Oryzias latipes: one gene and its partner. Each later gene encodes a partner of the first gene's protein in a complex. Links are inferred from orthologs where the notes say so. Each region holds a gene or a part of one and is shown in the gene's direction. Other genes may lie near its edges.

What was found. The genes of interacting proteins can lie anywhere in the genome.
Region 2: strn3 (region 1) and stk26 share a complex: the UniProt entries of both Homo sapiens proteins name them as parts of the core of STRIPAK complex. The link is inferred for Oryzias latipes from reciprocal best matches to the Homo sapiens genes STRN3 and STK26.

What each region holds. Positions count from the first base shown.
Region 1 is NC_019880.2:2,597,095-2,604,932, reverse strand, and holds part of strn3 (striatin-3), read left to right. Parts: coding exon 1-94; intron 95-2,007; coding exon 2,008-2,111; intron 2,112-2,753; coding exon 2,754-2,827; intron 2,828-4,053; coding exon 4,054-4,132; intron 4,133-4,284; coding exon 4,285-4,446; intron 4,447-4,517; coding exon 4,518-4,650; intron 4,651-4,726; coding exon 4,727-4,862; intron 4,863-5,848; coding exon 5,849-5,988; intron 5,989-6,072; coding exon 6,073-6,251; intron 6,252-6,363; coding exon 6,364-6,411; intron 6,412-6,561; coding exon 6,562-6,683; intron 6,684-6,798; coding exon 6,799-6,966; intron 6,967-7,226; coding exon 7,227-7,367; intron 7,368-7,441; coding exon 7,442-7,549; intron 7,550-7,838. UniProt on the Homo sapiens protein: Calmodulin-binding scaffolding protein which is the center of the striatin-interacting phosphatase and kinase (STRIPAK) complexes.
Region 2 is NC_019876.2:4,717,468-4,725,943, reverse strand, and holds the start of stk26 (serine/threonine-protein kinase 26), read left to right. Parts: upstream 1-3,995; 5' UTR 3,996-4,208; coding exon 4,209-4,229; intron 4,230-8,476. Other genes in the region: palmitoyltransferase ZDHHC3, read right to left, coding at 2,222-2,346. UniProt on the Homo sapiens protein: Serine/threonine-protein kinase that acts as a mediator of cell growth. Modulates apoptosis. In association with STK24 negatively regulates Golgi reorientation in polarized cell migration upon RHO activation.

The sequences.
Region 1 (7,838 bases):
CACTATCCCGGGAATTCTACACTACATCCAGCACGAGTGGGCCCGGTTCGAAATGGAGAGGGCGCACTGGGAGGTGGAGCGGGCCGAACTCCAGGTTAGTCCGTCGCTATGGGTTAGCTGCTTAGCATTAGCATGGTTAGCTTCTTTTTTTCCACAGTCACCGGGGATCTCAAATAACCTTTTATCGGTATACGTATTAACGTGAATTTAAGGTAGCGACCGGAGCCCCACTGACATGTCAAGGGGGACGAGTAACCGGCGTGGAGGTCTGTTATCCAGCCGGGAGTCTGAGTGCGTTGGCCGTTAGCTTTGGAGCCCGTGGCTCAACTGAGATATCGGGAGCCTGCAGCCGCCGTGGATACGTTAATCGTGCTGTTTTGACATTTGGACCAGATGTTGGTCAGATGTTGTTCGTGACAGTCAGACGACCCTAAACGAATGACCTTACCGATTCAAATCCGTGATTCTGGAGGTTTTTTTTAATCAACCTATACATAGAAAAGTGGCTTTTTCTGGTTCTCTGGTTGGCTGCGAAGCATCTTTCAGGTCACACCTCCCTCTGGAAGATCTCCTGCATTCTAGGTCTTTATTTGCTGTCAGTTTTTTTATTTATTTACATGAATTCCTGTACATTTTCCATTTGAAGTCTGTGGATTTCTCCTTGGAAACAGCCTGTAAACAAACATGACTTCCCGATGAGAGAAGCGGGATCTGGAGCTGCTCCATGTTCTTCATGGAGCTCCAGGTGTGTGTTGGCTTTGCCGTGTCCAGCAGCAGATCTGCTGCTTCTACATCTCAGTTTGTGTGACAGAAGCAGACCCTTTTGGGTTTTTAGAAGGAATATCTGGCATCATCTCAGCTGTGGAGATGTTTCTGTCGGGGGGGGGGGGGGGGGGACGCTTTAATAAAGGCTAAAAACAAAATGAGAGTGTTGGTAGTGATATCATTTCATCACCATTGAACAATAAGGTTACTCCTCAGAGCCATTGAACGTATTGTGAGTCTCCAGGATGAGGATGATGAAGAGGCCGGAGGATTCTGCTCTGATCCTGGTCTGTGATGTCACAACCCAAAGGATGGTCCAATCAGATATTTATAGAAGTAGGTGACCCTGAACCAACGTCAGGCTCTCACATCAAACTGCATGGATCTCCCTTTTGGAGATTTGATATTTAAATTCCCTTAAAATTTAACTCACGAAGCAGAAGGAGACACTGGTGGGTTTATAATAACGAGGAAAAAGGAGTTAGTTTTAACCAAAATATGCTTTTTTTTCCTGTTATGGCATTATGTCTGCGCTGTTATTGATGTACACAATATTTTACATAATAAATGTGTTTTTAAATCATTCTTTTTTTATTAGAAACTGTCGAATTCTTTCATTTTTTAGATTTTATTAAATTTTTCCTCCTCATGTTTTAAGTCTTTTTGTTCTTCTGCAATGTTGCCACTAGATGGCACTAGATGTTTACACAGCAACCTCAAAAAGCCAAAAATAAATGTAAAAAAAAAATCAATTGTATTGTATCTTCCAGCTTCCAGAGCCACGTTTTGCTCCTCTGGACATGAATTCAGAGCAAAACTCTGACAGTGTGACGTCGTCGGTCTTAAATAGCTGTACTGACACAACGACAGTGGCGTTTTAATGAGGTGACGTGGTTGAATAACTGCAGCCCACATGTGCTGTTTTGGTCAGGGGTGTTGAGAAGCTCCCGATGACTCACAGGAACTCTGTCTGGTTTGTCATCGCCATACATTTAGGCTGAGCTGCTCACCGAACCTCCTTTCCAGTGTCTGATTCATGTAGGTGTCACATGACCTCACTCAACTCAACAACCATGTAAACAATCTTTAAAGAGTGACTCCCATATCTTTCAGAAACCTATCATAAAGAGAAGATCCAGGAGGATTTGGTTTCTCTGGAAGTGACTCGGTTGTTTTCTTGACACAATATTTTTGTGTACATAAGAGTTTTGAAACATTTGTTTCTGTTCTGCGTCTTTCCAGGCCCGGATAGCGTTCCTGCAGGGGGAGAGGAAGGGCCAGGAGAACCTAAAGAACGATCTGGTTCGAAGAATCAAGATGTTAGAATATGCTTTAAAACAGGAAAGGTAGGAACCCCGACTCATCTCAATTTATTCATTTTATCATCTAAATGTTTGAGACCAAAGAAAAAAAAATCTCTGCCTTCAAACAGGAAAACGACTAAAATCCAGAGGGAATGCTTCACTTTACGAACAGAGAATTAGGTTCGTTTGGAAGTGATTTCATAGCAGAAAAACAAGTTTCAGGTCAGAATCAATGTGAAAAACCTTGACCCAAGCTTAAAGTTGATTCCCCTTGTGGTTAAAATCATTTTCATCTTTTAAAAACAAGAATTTTATATTAAAAGGATTAAGATTTTTCTCTTTGCTTTTGGTCTTTTGAACATCCAATTCAAAATATATCAAACATTTATTTCATAACATATCAGATATATTTTTTTGTTTAGACAATTAAACAGAAAATTGAGGGAAAGGCATCAGAAGAGGATCAGCAATAAGGACTGGACTGAAAAAGTCAGGAAAAGAAACGTTTTTAGGAAAGTTTGCAGAACTTTAAAACTGAATTCATAAGAAAAGTTTAAGGCAGAAATCAATTTAAAAAAACAATGTTTTCAAAGTCTGTTTACATGAAACGACTTTAGATTTTGAACTTGATCTTTGAGGTTGACATCTGTAAGAATAAATAATATTTTTTTCTCTTCCTCCTAGAGCGAAATATCACAAGTTAAAATATGGAACAGAGCTGAACCAAGGAGAGATGAAGATGCCAAGCTTTGAATCAGGTCTGAAAGTCTTCCTCAGTTTCATTTCTTGTTTCTTTCACTCTTTCCTAAACGTATTTGATGGATTAAATGCTAATTATCGGATGAGAAAACTGCTTTAATACATTAATTAGGGGGTGTTAGAAAAAATCGTTTCGGCGATATATCGCGATAGTTCATTTGGCGATACTCGTATCGATTCAAAATACTGTCAGGACGATATTTATTTAATTATTCTTCAGCGTCTTCAGCGTCTGACTCTTGCTGTCCACTTCAACCTCCGGCCACTAGTGGGCAGCAGAGAACATGGAACCTCTTTGAGGAGCTCTACACACAAGACAACAGGAAGACTGCAGCCAGAGTCAGCTTGTTTCGTTGTCATGCGACATGAACTACTTCATTTTTACTTGGGATGGGAACCGAACCATAACTCTGTTCCATGTTGCTGCAATTAACATATAAAAACGCGAATTGTGGTGCTTTTTAGCGGACTCGGACAAAAACGAGTGAAGCAGTGCAGCTGCACAGCGGCTAATCTAATGCACTTAGCATCGGCCAAAATGCTATCGGCAAAGTGGGCCAAAGTTCTGCAGAACCTCTCAGCAATAGATTCTAGTTCAGCGACCTGTTAGAGCAGAGTGACGTTTACAACGCTCTGAAAAACGGGCAACGTCGTGGCGATAACCGTTACTAGTTGACCTCCGTGTGTGAGAAGGAGCTGCAGTGCAGACTGCAAACAAAGCGTCTTAGCCACATTAAGACGCTCTCCTTCATCCTGTCATGCTGCCTCATCATCACACTTTATTGTTTCTGGAAAAATAATAGTGATTCTATAGTTTATGTTACCAAAATAAAAGCTCTATGAATTTGCTTTGGTAAAAGCAACTTATGTATGAGATACAGTTACAGTGCTTAACATTATGATCATTAAATAAACTGAATTTGACCATTACATTACAATGAAAAGACGCATTGAAATTCAGGTAGAGTTTTTCTAAGTCATATTTTTTATTTTTAAAAAGAAAGAAAATGTGTTCCCGTAAAATATCGGGATACGTATCGTATCGTATCGCCCGACTCTTGCAAATACACACCCCTACTTCCCTCAGGTTCCCCTGAGAAAAACGCAAACCTCTCGTGAGTGAACCAGCTCCCGTCCGTGGGAACATTTCAGGAAAACGTTCTGTAGTGTCCTTGCAGTGCAGCAGCTGAGTGAAGCTCAGCGTTTATCTGTGTTCGCCCCGCAGACGCCAAAGACTCAGAGGTGTCGGCGGTTCCTGCCAACAGTCAGCTGACGTGGAAACAAGGGCGGCAGCTTCTCAGACAGTAAGACCCGCTTCCTTCCGCCCCCTCTTTCATGTTTTTAAAATGCTGTTTCCCAGAGTCCAGGTCAGTCTGAGCTCCTCAGAGACACAATCTTTCACGAGCCACATCAGCGCGAGCAGAGGAGCAGAGACTTGACTCCGTGTTGTGTTCAGGTACCTTCAGGAAGTCGGGTACACGGACACCATCCTGGACGTGCGCACTCAGAGAGTCCGCTCCCTGCTCGGCCTGTCCGGGTCCGAGCAGAACGGCGCAGTGGAGAACAAGAACCTGCAGCACCTCATCAACGGGACGGAGCGCTGCAAAGACGGCAAGAGGTGAGCCGTCAGTCAAACGAAGGTCCCCAGCTTGAGGCTGTGGAGGGTCACCTGCATGGTGCTGTGAGCAGGATTCCCAGCGACGACCTGGAGACGTTCAACTTCCTGGAGAACGCGGAGGACAGCGACGAGGACGAGGAGGCGGACCTGATGGACGACCTCGGCACGGACAAACACCGCAGAGCCAAAAAACACAAAACCAAGGTCCGTTTCAAACCTGGACCGCTCCTTCTGCAGAACTCCAGGGCTCCTCTCACTCCTCTGCTTCTGGTCCCTCCAGGTGGGGAACGAGGGTTTGGCCACCGAGGACGAAGCCGTCACAGAGGAGGTCATGAAGGAGTTTGACTTCCTGGTGACGGCAGAGGATGGAGAGGGGGCGGGGGAGGCCCGGAGCTCCGGAGACGGGACGGAGTGGGGTGAGTCGGTGAACTGAACCAAAGCTTTGACATTTCTGAGACAAAACCTTCAATTTCAGTTCAAGTTTGAATTCAGAATGAAAGCTTATTTTATTATGTAAAGGTAGATTTTTAAACAAATCATTTAACTGAAGAAATAAACAGATTTTATTAGAAAAGATTATGCTAAAGACCCACTCCAATGAAAATTGAAATGTTATTTAAGCTTTTTCCCAGAAAGGAGGACTTATGACGGTTGAGCATTTTGGGGTATTTATTTTGAAGGGCTAGGTTAATAAAATCAATTAAACAATCTGAAACCAATTCAAGCTTAATAAACCAATGACCAAAGAACAAAAGATTAATATTTTATGTCTTTCTTTTCCGGTGACCTAACGCATAACAGCAGCAAAGCCAAATTCCACTAGCTCGATGCTAACATATAATGGAATTTCCCATAGGACAGATAATGCTAACACTCGGTCGACGTAAACACTGCTGACTAAATAAACAGCTTTATTTGCTCCCTTGCAGGAGTTTTACAATTTATTTTAAGGAAATATTAAAAAACAACAATTTCTTTTGCTCAAATCTTCTGGAATAAATTGTAACGCTATAGCGCCAGCTCCACCTAGTGGCCAAATATCTTCAAAACATAAATAGACTATTAATGTATTTCTATACAAAAATGTCTAAAGTGTAAAAAAAAATTGTGAATAAAGTCGATCCAGGCTCTGGTGAATCAAATCGATCGTGGGAAGTTGTAGTAACACCCAGTCCCATTTCATTGTTCAAATTGTTGTGAATCGGGAGCAGAAAGAAAACTGACTGGAAGCCCTGATAATGTTGGCCATTTTTGCTGCACCGCTAATGTGAGGGTGGGGTTGTGAAGGGCTGTAAGCTAGCTGGAGAGCGCGTCTTTAAAGGAAACAAAACTGGTTTCATTAGAACAGATGATGTTAATATGAGCTTTTTTAGTGTGTGCCAACGGAAGTTTGTCTTTGCAGCAGAGCCTCTGCCGTTTTCCAGCGGTGGGGGCAAATCCTTCTTGCTGGGGGGCTCAGACGATGCCCTGGAAAACATGCTGGGCTTGGGCGACCTCGCTGACATTTGCGTCACCAACGACGAGGTGGACTTTGGCTACGATGTGAGAGACCCACAAACACGAGTGTTGTGACATCCCCACCCCCCGTGAAGGTTCTCACATGTTCCTCCTTCCCCCCTCCCCCAGCTCTCTTCCAGTAAGGAGTCTTCCTTCAGGAAAACGTGGAATCCTAAGTACACGTTGCGGAGCCACTTTGACGGCGTCCGAGCCTTGGCGTTCCATCCCGTTGAACCTTGCCTGGTCAGCGTGTCGGAAGACCACACCCTAAAGCTGTGGAACCTCACCAAAACCGTCCCGGCCAAAAAGTACGCCAGCTCCTCCCTCCCACCCATCAGAGCGCGTCCTTAGGATCAGCTTGGCCTGAAAACCCGCTCGCCTCTTCAGCGGATCTGATCTGTTCTTCTCACTGTTTTCCAGAAGTGCCTCGTTTGATGTGGAGCCCATCTACACTTTCAGGGGACACGAGTACGTACTCCAAACATGAAGCAAACAGAAAGCTCTGAATGTGGAACCGTGTGGAAGACTCGAAGATTTATTAGTTCTCAGGGTCGATGAATTCAGGAGGGGAACCTTCCTTAGAAACCATCTTTAGAATAATTCCTTCTCCTCTTTCAGGGGCCCAGTGTTGTCGTTGGCGATGACCTCCACAGGTGAACAGTGTTTCAGCGGCGGCATCGACTCCACCATCCAGTGGTGGAACATCCCCGGCTCCAACGTCGACCCCTACGATACCTACGGTACGGACCGATTCGTCCTCACCTGAACGCGTCCCGCCGTCCACACCCCAACTCTTCTAAACCCCTCCCCCTGCTTTCACGAGCCTGAATGTGTCTGCCTTCCATGTGTCCTCAGACTCCAGTGTCCTGGCAGGTACATGGGCGGGGCATACCGATGCCGTGTGGGGATTGGCTTACAGTGGTATCAAGAACCGCCTCCTCTCCTGCTCAGCCGATGGGACGGTGAAGCTATGGAACCCGGCGGCCAAAGAGCCTTGCATCAGCACTTTCAACACAGACATGGGTGAGGAGCGCACCCCCCCCACACACACACACACACCCACCCACCCTGCAGCACACACCCCCCATCTGGGGGGGGGGTATTTTTTTGCTCAAAGGTTTAGTTAGAAAGAAGAATTGTTCCAACAACCAGGTCCCTGCAGTTCTGGCTAACAGAAAAACCGAGTGGTCCTAAAATTGATCCCTGAGGAACTCAAGTAGTTGAAAGTTAAAATGGCCTGAAATCTGAAGTGTTTTTTAACCTGTTGAGGTTTGTGTGCACAGAACACGGCATCCCCACGTCAGTGGACTTCAACGGCTGTGACCCCGCCCACATGGTGGCGTCTTTTAACGGAGGAGACGTGGCCATTTACGACTTGGAAACCTCACAGACCGCCGTGGTGCTGAAAGGACAAGGAGACGGCAGTAAGTTCCGTGCATTTGCCGATGCTTCCGGCGGCGTCTGTTTTCTCCCGATGTAACTTGGCGTTTGTCTGCAGCCGGCCCGTCTCTGAACCACATCAACAAAGTGGTGAGTCACCCCACGCTGCCCATCACCATCACGGCACACGAGGACCGCCACATCAAGTTCTTTGATAACAAAACGGGTAAGTCTGTCTTTTTTTTTTTGCCATCCTTTCTTTTTTATATCAAGAAAAGGGGGCGGGGCTCTATGTTTAGGATGTCACTAGATTTTGAATATAAACATGTTTACATTGTGTAATCCTTCAGTCTCACATCCATCCACCAAGGTCGCCATTTAATGAATCAACTCGTTACCATATTTCAGGCTAAACTATCTTCTGTTTTCCCTCTTCTTTAAAGCTCCATCGTTAAATCAGTGATGTCCCAGAATCTCTACCGTTTCTAGTTTCTTACTTGTTTCATTTTTTTAAC
Region 2 (8,476 bases), on another chromosome or scaffold:
TCCCTCTGTTTACGTGCTCTCCCGCTAGTTTACATCTCCTCCCACCCCCATTAGCGGTGCAAAAGAAAACGGTGAGCAATATCAGACCTTTATACCATGGTCCGGTTGAATACTCGATTCTGATTGGGTGCTGGGTGTGCATTAAAACCTGATAACCGCACGGTGAAAAAATAAGTTCCGGTCAGCTATCTTAAATGTTTTGTATCACTGCGCCGGCTTCTTTAAAATAACCTTTTGCTTCATCATTTGGACAAAAATAAGCGGTAAGAGGAGAACTTTCTCTCTGAACTGATGCTTTATTCCAGTGTTTTTCAACCAGTGTGCCGCGGCACACTAGTGTGCCATGGGAGATAGTCAAGTGTGCCGTGGGAAATTGCCCTCATTAACTGATCTAAAAACATTTCCCATCTTAAGGATATCAGCTCTGTGTTCATCCAAACAGGCCCTGATAAAACACTGAGAAGTTAGGAATATGAAAGATAGTAAAATACTTTTTTCTTTGTGTTTATTTGATTCTATTACAGACATTTTGATAAGAATGACAGTACCACGATTTAGCCGCATCTTAAACTCTGTTTTCTGAAAAGTCCCGTCCCTTTAACTGTCTCCACCAATCATTCTTGAAGGCTTAATCACATGTCATCAGTCTGACCAATCAGAAGTGGTTAAAGTCTTCACCTCGTTGTTTCGATTTAGCTCATAAGTCACTCAGTTCTAACAAAAATACCAGTTAAAGCTCGTCTTTAGCGGTGTAGCTTTCTACAGAATCAGGTGTCAGACCGTGGAACAAGTAAACAAAACAATGAGGCTCAGAGACGCGAGTCTGTCTGTGTTCGGCGGATTTTTCCACTACATCTCCCATGATGCATTGGGTTAAAGTGACAGCGCAAGTCTTAGCGCACAATGAGTCCCTCCTCTTAACGTCTTAAAACAACAACGAACACAGTTTTTGAATCTTTTAACTTAACTTTTATTACATATTTTAGAAAAAACAACTGCGGCTTCCATCTTTTTCTGCCACAATTATCACAAAAATGCATGTGAGATTGCAGAGGGACTGTAGATCAATACAGACTATGAGCTTTTCCTTTTTTTCTTTTTTTTTTAAATTTTTGGATGCTGGTGTGCCGCTGGATTTTTGTCGAGGTTAAAGTGTGCCGTGGCTCAAAAAAGGTTGAAAAACACTGCTTTATTCAACCCATCAGGACGATCAGCATATACATATCGCCGAATCTTGACTGCAGCGGTGGTGCTGCGCTGCATCACGTAACATATATTCCGCTTTTTTCCAAATCGAAAAAAAAAAACAAGAATTAAGGACTAAAACCTGGTTAATATGTATTGCTTTTATAACTGACCATGGTATAAGCGGGTTAATGGCCTTCGAAGTGTGCGTCACTTCGCGTCGGACGGTTCAGGCTTCCACGGCGTGCGTTAAAAAGTAATAACCGCACACTTCGTCGGCCATTAACCCTTACATAATCCAGCCGTCCAGTTCTGATCCAGATTCCAGCTCAGACGTAGAAGGATATTAGTCGTCTACAAGTGGACGCATCGGATTGGAGCGGAGCAGGGAGGGCGTGGCCCGCCCACTGTAGCACCTACGTCACTGCTACAGGCTTTTTCAAGCCTCATTTTCTCCTGACTCACAACGATTGGAACAAAGAAATTCTCAGAAATTACATTTTAATCCGAGTTTTCTTTACATACGTCCAGCATCAAGGAAAATGTTACGAAAACATAAAAAAGAAGTACAAAAAAAAACAACAATTTTCATTAAGTGGATCTTGGAGTTGTTAAATGTTGTCACATAAAAACCGCACAGAAGAATCCGGACGGAACAAAAACAGACTTTAAACAAATTAATTCATCAATTATGTGGCCGTCTTGAGTCTCAGACATAACAAAACCCCACAAATTACTCTGATGGCTAACAATTCGATATTTCATGACCTGACAGTAACCATTATAAAAAAATCGCCCGTTGGTTGGACGAAACAATCCTCCCAGGCTCTGTTTACACCTGGATCCGCGCGTAAACAAAGCGCACGCGCACGGACACCTTAATCCAAACTCCACAAACAAACACGAAGGTTTTTCTGAGGACGGGAGTGAAGCGGAGGCTGTCGAATGAATGAAGCCCTGCCTCGAACCGACGACGCGTCGCCGTTTCGGGGCTCGAGGGAGGCGCGCGCGCCGTCACACAGACACACACACTGACCTGTCGGAGTAGGTGGGGATGAGGACATACTGGATAACCACGTAATCCGCGTAAAACACGCTGAAGTACGTCAAAATAAGGCAGATTACGCCGCACGGGTCCCGTTTACACCGCAGGAACGCCATCTTTTGTCGGGCTCCACCCACTTCTGCCCGCTTCCTGTTGACGTCAGAACAAAACCCGATGGTGCTTTCACGGACAGTAGAAAACGAAACAATATTTCTTGAGCCTCAGCATAATGAACGTTCAAAATATAAGTAGTAACTGAGGAATTTAACTAAAGTTAGCAGTTTTCTGGGGTTCGGTTATCGGCACAAAAAGTCTGCGTTGTTTGGTGAAAGCAAAATCAATAGACGTATGACAAACGACGACATCTACCCTTGGACACACAAAATGCCTGCGGGCAACGTGCATCTCGGCCACATGAATTCAATTTGTTGATTCATTTCCATCAGTTTTTGTATTTGATTGGTACACTTGAATGCGTCACGGCTCTGCTAGGGTAGGGTGGATGAAATCGATTAATCAATCTGAATCTATCCAAGCTTAATAGATCATTTATCGATCCATAAAAGTATCGATCGAGAGATCGATCTTTTTGGCCTTTCCTTTTCCGGTGACCTAACGCAAAAAAGCAGTAATGCCAAAGGCCGCTAGTTTAATGCTAACGTATAATGGAATTTCCCATAAGACGGCTATTGCTAACTCCTCTATGACTTAAACATACATTGATGACCAAATGAACAGCTTTTTATCCTCACAGACAGCAATTTTCCAAACTCTTATAACCCTTGTGCTATCCTAGGCACGTTAATCTTGGGATGGGGGTCATCTGGACCCCACTAGACAGTGCGCTGAACCTTTTTTCTTCAGTGATTTGTGATCTTCACTGGTGTCCATGGATTACATAAAATACTCTTCACCTTTATCCACCTTTGTCATGGTAGGGAGAACACGTCCAATGGAAGGGTGGAGTCATTTTGAGCCCTTAAGATAGCACAAGGGTTAAGGAAACATTATTTTAAAAGTAAATATTTGTAGTCTGGAATAAAGTGGAACGCTATGGTGGGTGCTCCACCTAGTGGCCAAACCAAACAGCCCTCCAGGAGATGCGGAACATGATGATCTGTACATTTTTGTTGGAGCTTGTCTCATGTAACACTATCTGGTGGTAACAATCTCATTGCCTTATTATTTTACTAATACATTTTACAGAACATGCACTGTATCAGAATAATACAAAAATATATCTGCAAACATATTACTACCGTATATCTATACAAATATGTCTAAGTATGTGAACTGCATAAAGTAAAAATTTAAACGCTCCATTCTCCGGTGAATCAAATTGGTTCTGGAGATTATCGGTGATACATGATGTTATTTTTGTTAAAGTCGGTATAGAGAGAGAGAAAAAATAGAATAAAACTGAAAAATTCAGACATTTTATTTTGTCGTCACATCGCCCTGTCATAGAATGAAAGAAAAATCCTACTTCAGGTGTTACTTACGTAAACAGGTGTAAATCTTTTGTATGGTAGTTTCTAGATGAGGAAAGTAGCTCTGGCGTTATCCTATTATAGTTTCCGAGCTATAGATTACTACTTGAACCTGAAGGCATCACGAGATCACGAGCTGCAGTCCTTCAGGTAGGGAGGAACACGGGGGAGAAGGCGTTACCGGTGCTCCGGCTCAGGTTGACGTCCGCCGCTGAGGCCCCGCCCCCCAGAGTGGGCGGGAACCACCTCGTCATTCTTCTGGTTTGCCCCCAAACTCTCTCTCTCTCTTTTTTTCTTCTCCTGTCAGTCTTTCGCGCTCGTGCGTCGTTGGCCTCGCTCGTCGCGGAGAACCGGATCTTTCTGTCGATTCCAACTTTACTCCCGAAGTTTTTTTTGGTTGAGGATTCGAGACGAAGAGCGGATAAACGGAAGGAGCTAAAGGGGAGAAACCTGGAGGAAGTAAAGGGAGGCCAAACGTCGAAGTAACCATGGAGGTTCCTGGTATGCAGGTGAGTCGGAAGGTGCACGCGCGCCCTCGCTTCGGGGAAATAAACATCAGACAGACCGACGAGTCTTAGCGAACATTTTTGTGTTGCGTTTAGGGACCCTTTTTCAGTGGAAAACGCAACCGCGTGGAAAGTTTTCTGAGCGAAACGCTTGACATCTTTTCTTGTTTCTTTCTTAAAAGTTGGCATTATTTGAAAACTGTGAAAATTATCGATTTGTTTTTAATTAGGGCTTTTAAATCATCACATTGAACGCATTTAGTTGAATTGAAAGCTAGTGTCTCTTTAAAAAACCTCAACAAATAGTTTACAATTTCATTTTTAATGATTGGTTTTAAGACGTTAGGCCTTAATAAAGGGCTTCAAACAGACAGCAGATATTTGTTGTTAACCTATTGACGCTTTCTGGGATACAAAAAAATCTCCATCCATATTTGACCATATATCACTTGGAGCATTTCTTCCTGTTTATATGTTAGCATTAGCCTGCAGCTGCAGATAAAACTACATTTATGTTGCATAAAGTCTTCTAAATTGATTTTGAGTGCAGATGTTTTTTTTTTTTTTTGACTTATAATTGAGTTTTGAGGGGTTTCATGGAGGGAACCTCCTTGGGTTGCACATTAATCTGGTGCCAGGCTTGTTTTTCTTTTTTTTGTCATGAAACTCCAACTTTCTCTGTGGTGACTTTAAATTTGGGGCTGGGCTTCTCCTTCAGCCTGAAGACGTTTCTTATCTGCAGGCTGTGCTCTTCTGATATCCCGTCTTTTCTATTGAGGTGACCTAATGGCTCCTTTTTCACCACCCAAGTGTTTCCACAGTGACTCACGGCGTTCTGGCAGAGTATTTTTAGCTCTGGATATTTTATTTGCTGGATTTTATAGGTTACAGATATGAAACTGGGTGTGGCTTAAGTCAGGAGTGTTTTTTTTGTAGTTGTTGTTGCCTGGCAGCATTGGTAAATATTTTTGTTGTTGGGCCTTTACAGCCTTTCCTTTAGCTTGAACTGGAACACATGGCCGTAAAACGGAGTCCAGGATTGGCTCTTCACCAACGTTGCCGTTAAGACAGGTGTGCTGGAAGAATGCCTGTTCGGCTGGCTTTCAGGTGTGTCTACCTGTGGGACCTGCTCCCTCTGCTCGCACTGTTAGTCCCAGGTGGGCGGGCCGGATGTGTCGACATTAACGCACCTGACAGCTGCTGCTGCCGCACCTTCCACCTTCACGTTCTAGCTCAGTAAAAGTGAAATAATTCAGATTGATTTAAAAAGGGAATTTTTTAGGTCCAGAAGTGATTCATGATAGCTGCAATAAGAATGGAGGACAGGTGATGCTTGACATTTGTAACACCTGGCAGGATGAACGCATTTCGAGTGGCGTTCGTCATGCAAAACCGATTTCCCATTCGACTTTAATAGGAAATTATGTAATCAGCTTGATGCACAGAAGGTAGAGGAAGAGAAGAAGACGGAGGATTTAAACCAAAGCATGGAAGGATGCAACCTTTGACAGAAAATTCCCATTTTTGCCGTAAACATAGCCTTTGGAAAGTATGCGGTTACGGTATTTGTTGTAAGAGGGAACAACTAGAACTTTGGCCTACAAATGAAATCTCTGATTTTTTTTCCTAGTCCGAATTTGATTTTCATCCATTTTTTTCTCGCGGCTTTTACTTTCTTTAACAAAAGTTACATTTGATGGAATATGTTTAACAAAAACTATTTTATTTGAACGTCTCCTTTGGAAAATTGGCTCCCAAACAAAGTTCAACTAAATATAAGCTGTTAAAATATTTTCAGCACATGTTTTGTTAGCTACCGCTAGCTTGAGCTTCTCATACAGAGAAATACTAGAACGCACTCAGCAGAACACTTTTGGTAGCAACAGCCATGAAATCATCTCCCCACAGAGACTAGGTTGACTAGTAGATTAAAATAAATTCAACCAACCAAATGATTCCATTATTTTGCAAAGAAACTAAAGGTGTTGTTAAAAAAAAGATAGTTAAATGCTAACAGAAACTATCAGATAACAGTTTTTGTCTGTATTGATTTCTAATCAATCTCTGTTCTCTGATTTTGCCGTTTTATAAAAGGTTTTATTTTCAATCACAAATGATTTGTTTGTGTTTTCCTGCTGAGAAACGCCCCCATGAGAAGAGGGTTTCAGTCCGTCACCTGTCCGTCACAAGGGGGGAGCTTCTTTCAGCTCAACGCCGGCTCTGTAACGTTGCATAGACACTAATAAACTTCCATACAAAGTGTCTGTTATAATATTTATAATGTACAGTTTAATAAATGTTCTATGACTTTAAACCGGTCCGTGTTCACATGTAGGCAACATGGAACAGCTTGTTAGTATACCTTGTTAGCATTTAGCATCGTAGCATTTAGCATTGTAGCATTTAAAATCTTAGCATTTAGCATCGTAGCATTTAGCATAGTAGCATTTAACATCGTAGCATTGTGCAAGTGTGCAAATTCAGAAAAAAAAAGATAGTTGAAAAGGATTAAAAAAAGTCAAATTATGGGAAAATGTTTTTCAGCCAACAAGTCTTTACCTGAATTCGGTTTTGAGATGTTTTCGTCAGTTGAGAATTATCCAGTTTATGCGTATTTTATGTTGTTTATACAATTATTACGTAAATGTAACGCAATTATGCATAATTTTTGCTAGATAATACACACATTTGTTTCTTTCCATGACCGTTCCGCATTTGTCTAACAGACTTTTCATGCATGTACTACCAACGTATGACTTCCATATCACGTATACGGCGCACATGTCGCGTTAGAATGACATAATGACGCACAAATCACTCATTCATTGAATATAAACAACGCTATAATCACACACGTATTCTACGTTGATTTACGTGTTCTTCGCGTGGTTTATTCGTACTTCTTCCACGGTTCTAACATGGTTCATTCGTGATGAACCACAACTTTTCTCACTTTTCCACGTACTTTTCACTTCTGAACAATTTTCATTCTTACAATATGCGCAAAATGTACATACATGGCCTTTAATTTGTTGCATACATCATTTATTTGACATCAGTTCGGATGTTTGTGTTTTGAAACTCTACATTATTAGATGTAGAATGCTTGTTTTTTTTTATTTATTGGCAGACTTTTCCTCAGTTTCGCCCAAACTTATAAATCTGATCAAAGTCACCTTCAGTTTCCCTTCAGGTGTGGACTTTTTTCCGACTAAAAAATAAAAGCTTGGGCCTACTCGGCCCCTGGACGAGTAACGAAAGCGTCTTTCCTTCCTCTTTGTCCGCCGTTGTGAAACCTCCGCTGCAGTTTCTAAAAAGCCCGTGTTGTTGTTTTTCCCAGCCGTGACGGATGCTGTGCTCGGGATTACATAACCCTGCAGAAAATGATCCCTGTTTAATATCTGAACTGTGACATTCTCGCACAAGTTTCCCAGCTGACTCCATGATGTACGATACACATGTGCACTGCTATAATGAAGCTCCTTGTTGGACTGTAGCCTTTGCTGCCTGCAGCCACATTTCCTTGTATCGGCTCATTCAGGGACTCTCACATCACGTTGATGTGCTGCATTTGCCTTTTTTTTTGGTGCAGACAGTTAAATCAAGGCCAAATCAGGGAAAGGATCTCTTTAGATCAAGTAGATCTAGAAAAATGTATTTTTAAAGCACTTTTTTTTCTTTTAGAAAGAATTGTTAAGAGTTTGTGTCAAAGACCACAGAGAGACGGTATAAACCAGGAATTAAAATAGATCAACTTAGGTACATTAACCCTTTAACACCTGAGCTGTCCTCGGTGACGATAAATAACACGCTTTCTTTGACCTACCGTAGTTCTTTAACCATTTCAGCAGTTGACGAAATTCCAATGGATTCTAAAAGCCAAGAAAAGCAGCTTTGCGCTGATGTGCAACACTTGATGATAGTGAAGTGTTGCATATCGATGCAAAGTTAACTGCGTAACGGGGGAGGAGTTGCGATAATTCAAAAAGCGCTAGTGTTAAGCTAATAGAATGCTAAATCAAAAAGATCTTCAGGTGGGTTTTAAAAGCCTCTGAGTCGATGGATTGTCGGGAAAAAAGCTTTTCTTTTGAATAATTGTAATAAATGTGATAAAGGGAGCTAATTTTATCTCAATGACTTTTGTTGAGTAAATACTTGAAACAACCCGTTGCTGACTTAACAGGTTGTTTGAAGTATTTACTCAACGGGTTGTGTGGAGTAAATACTTGAAACAACCCGTTGAGTCGGCA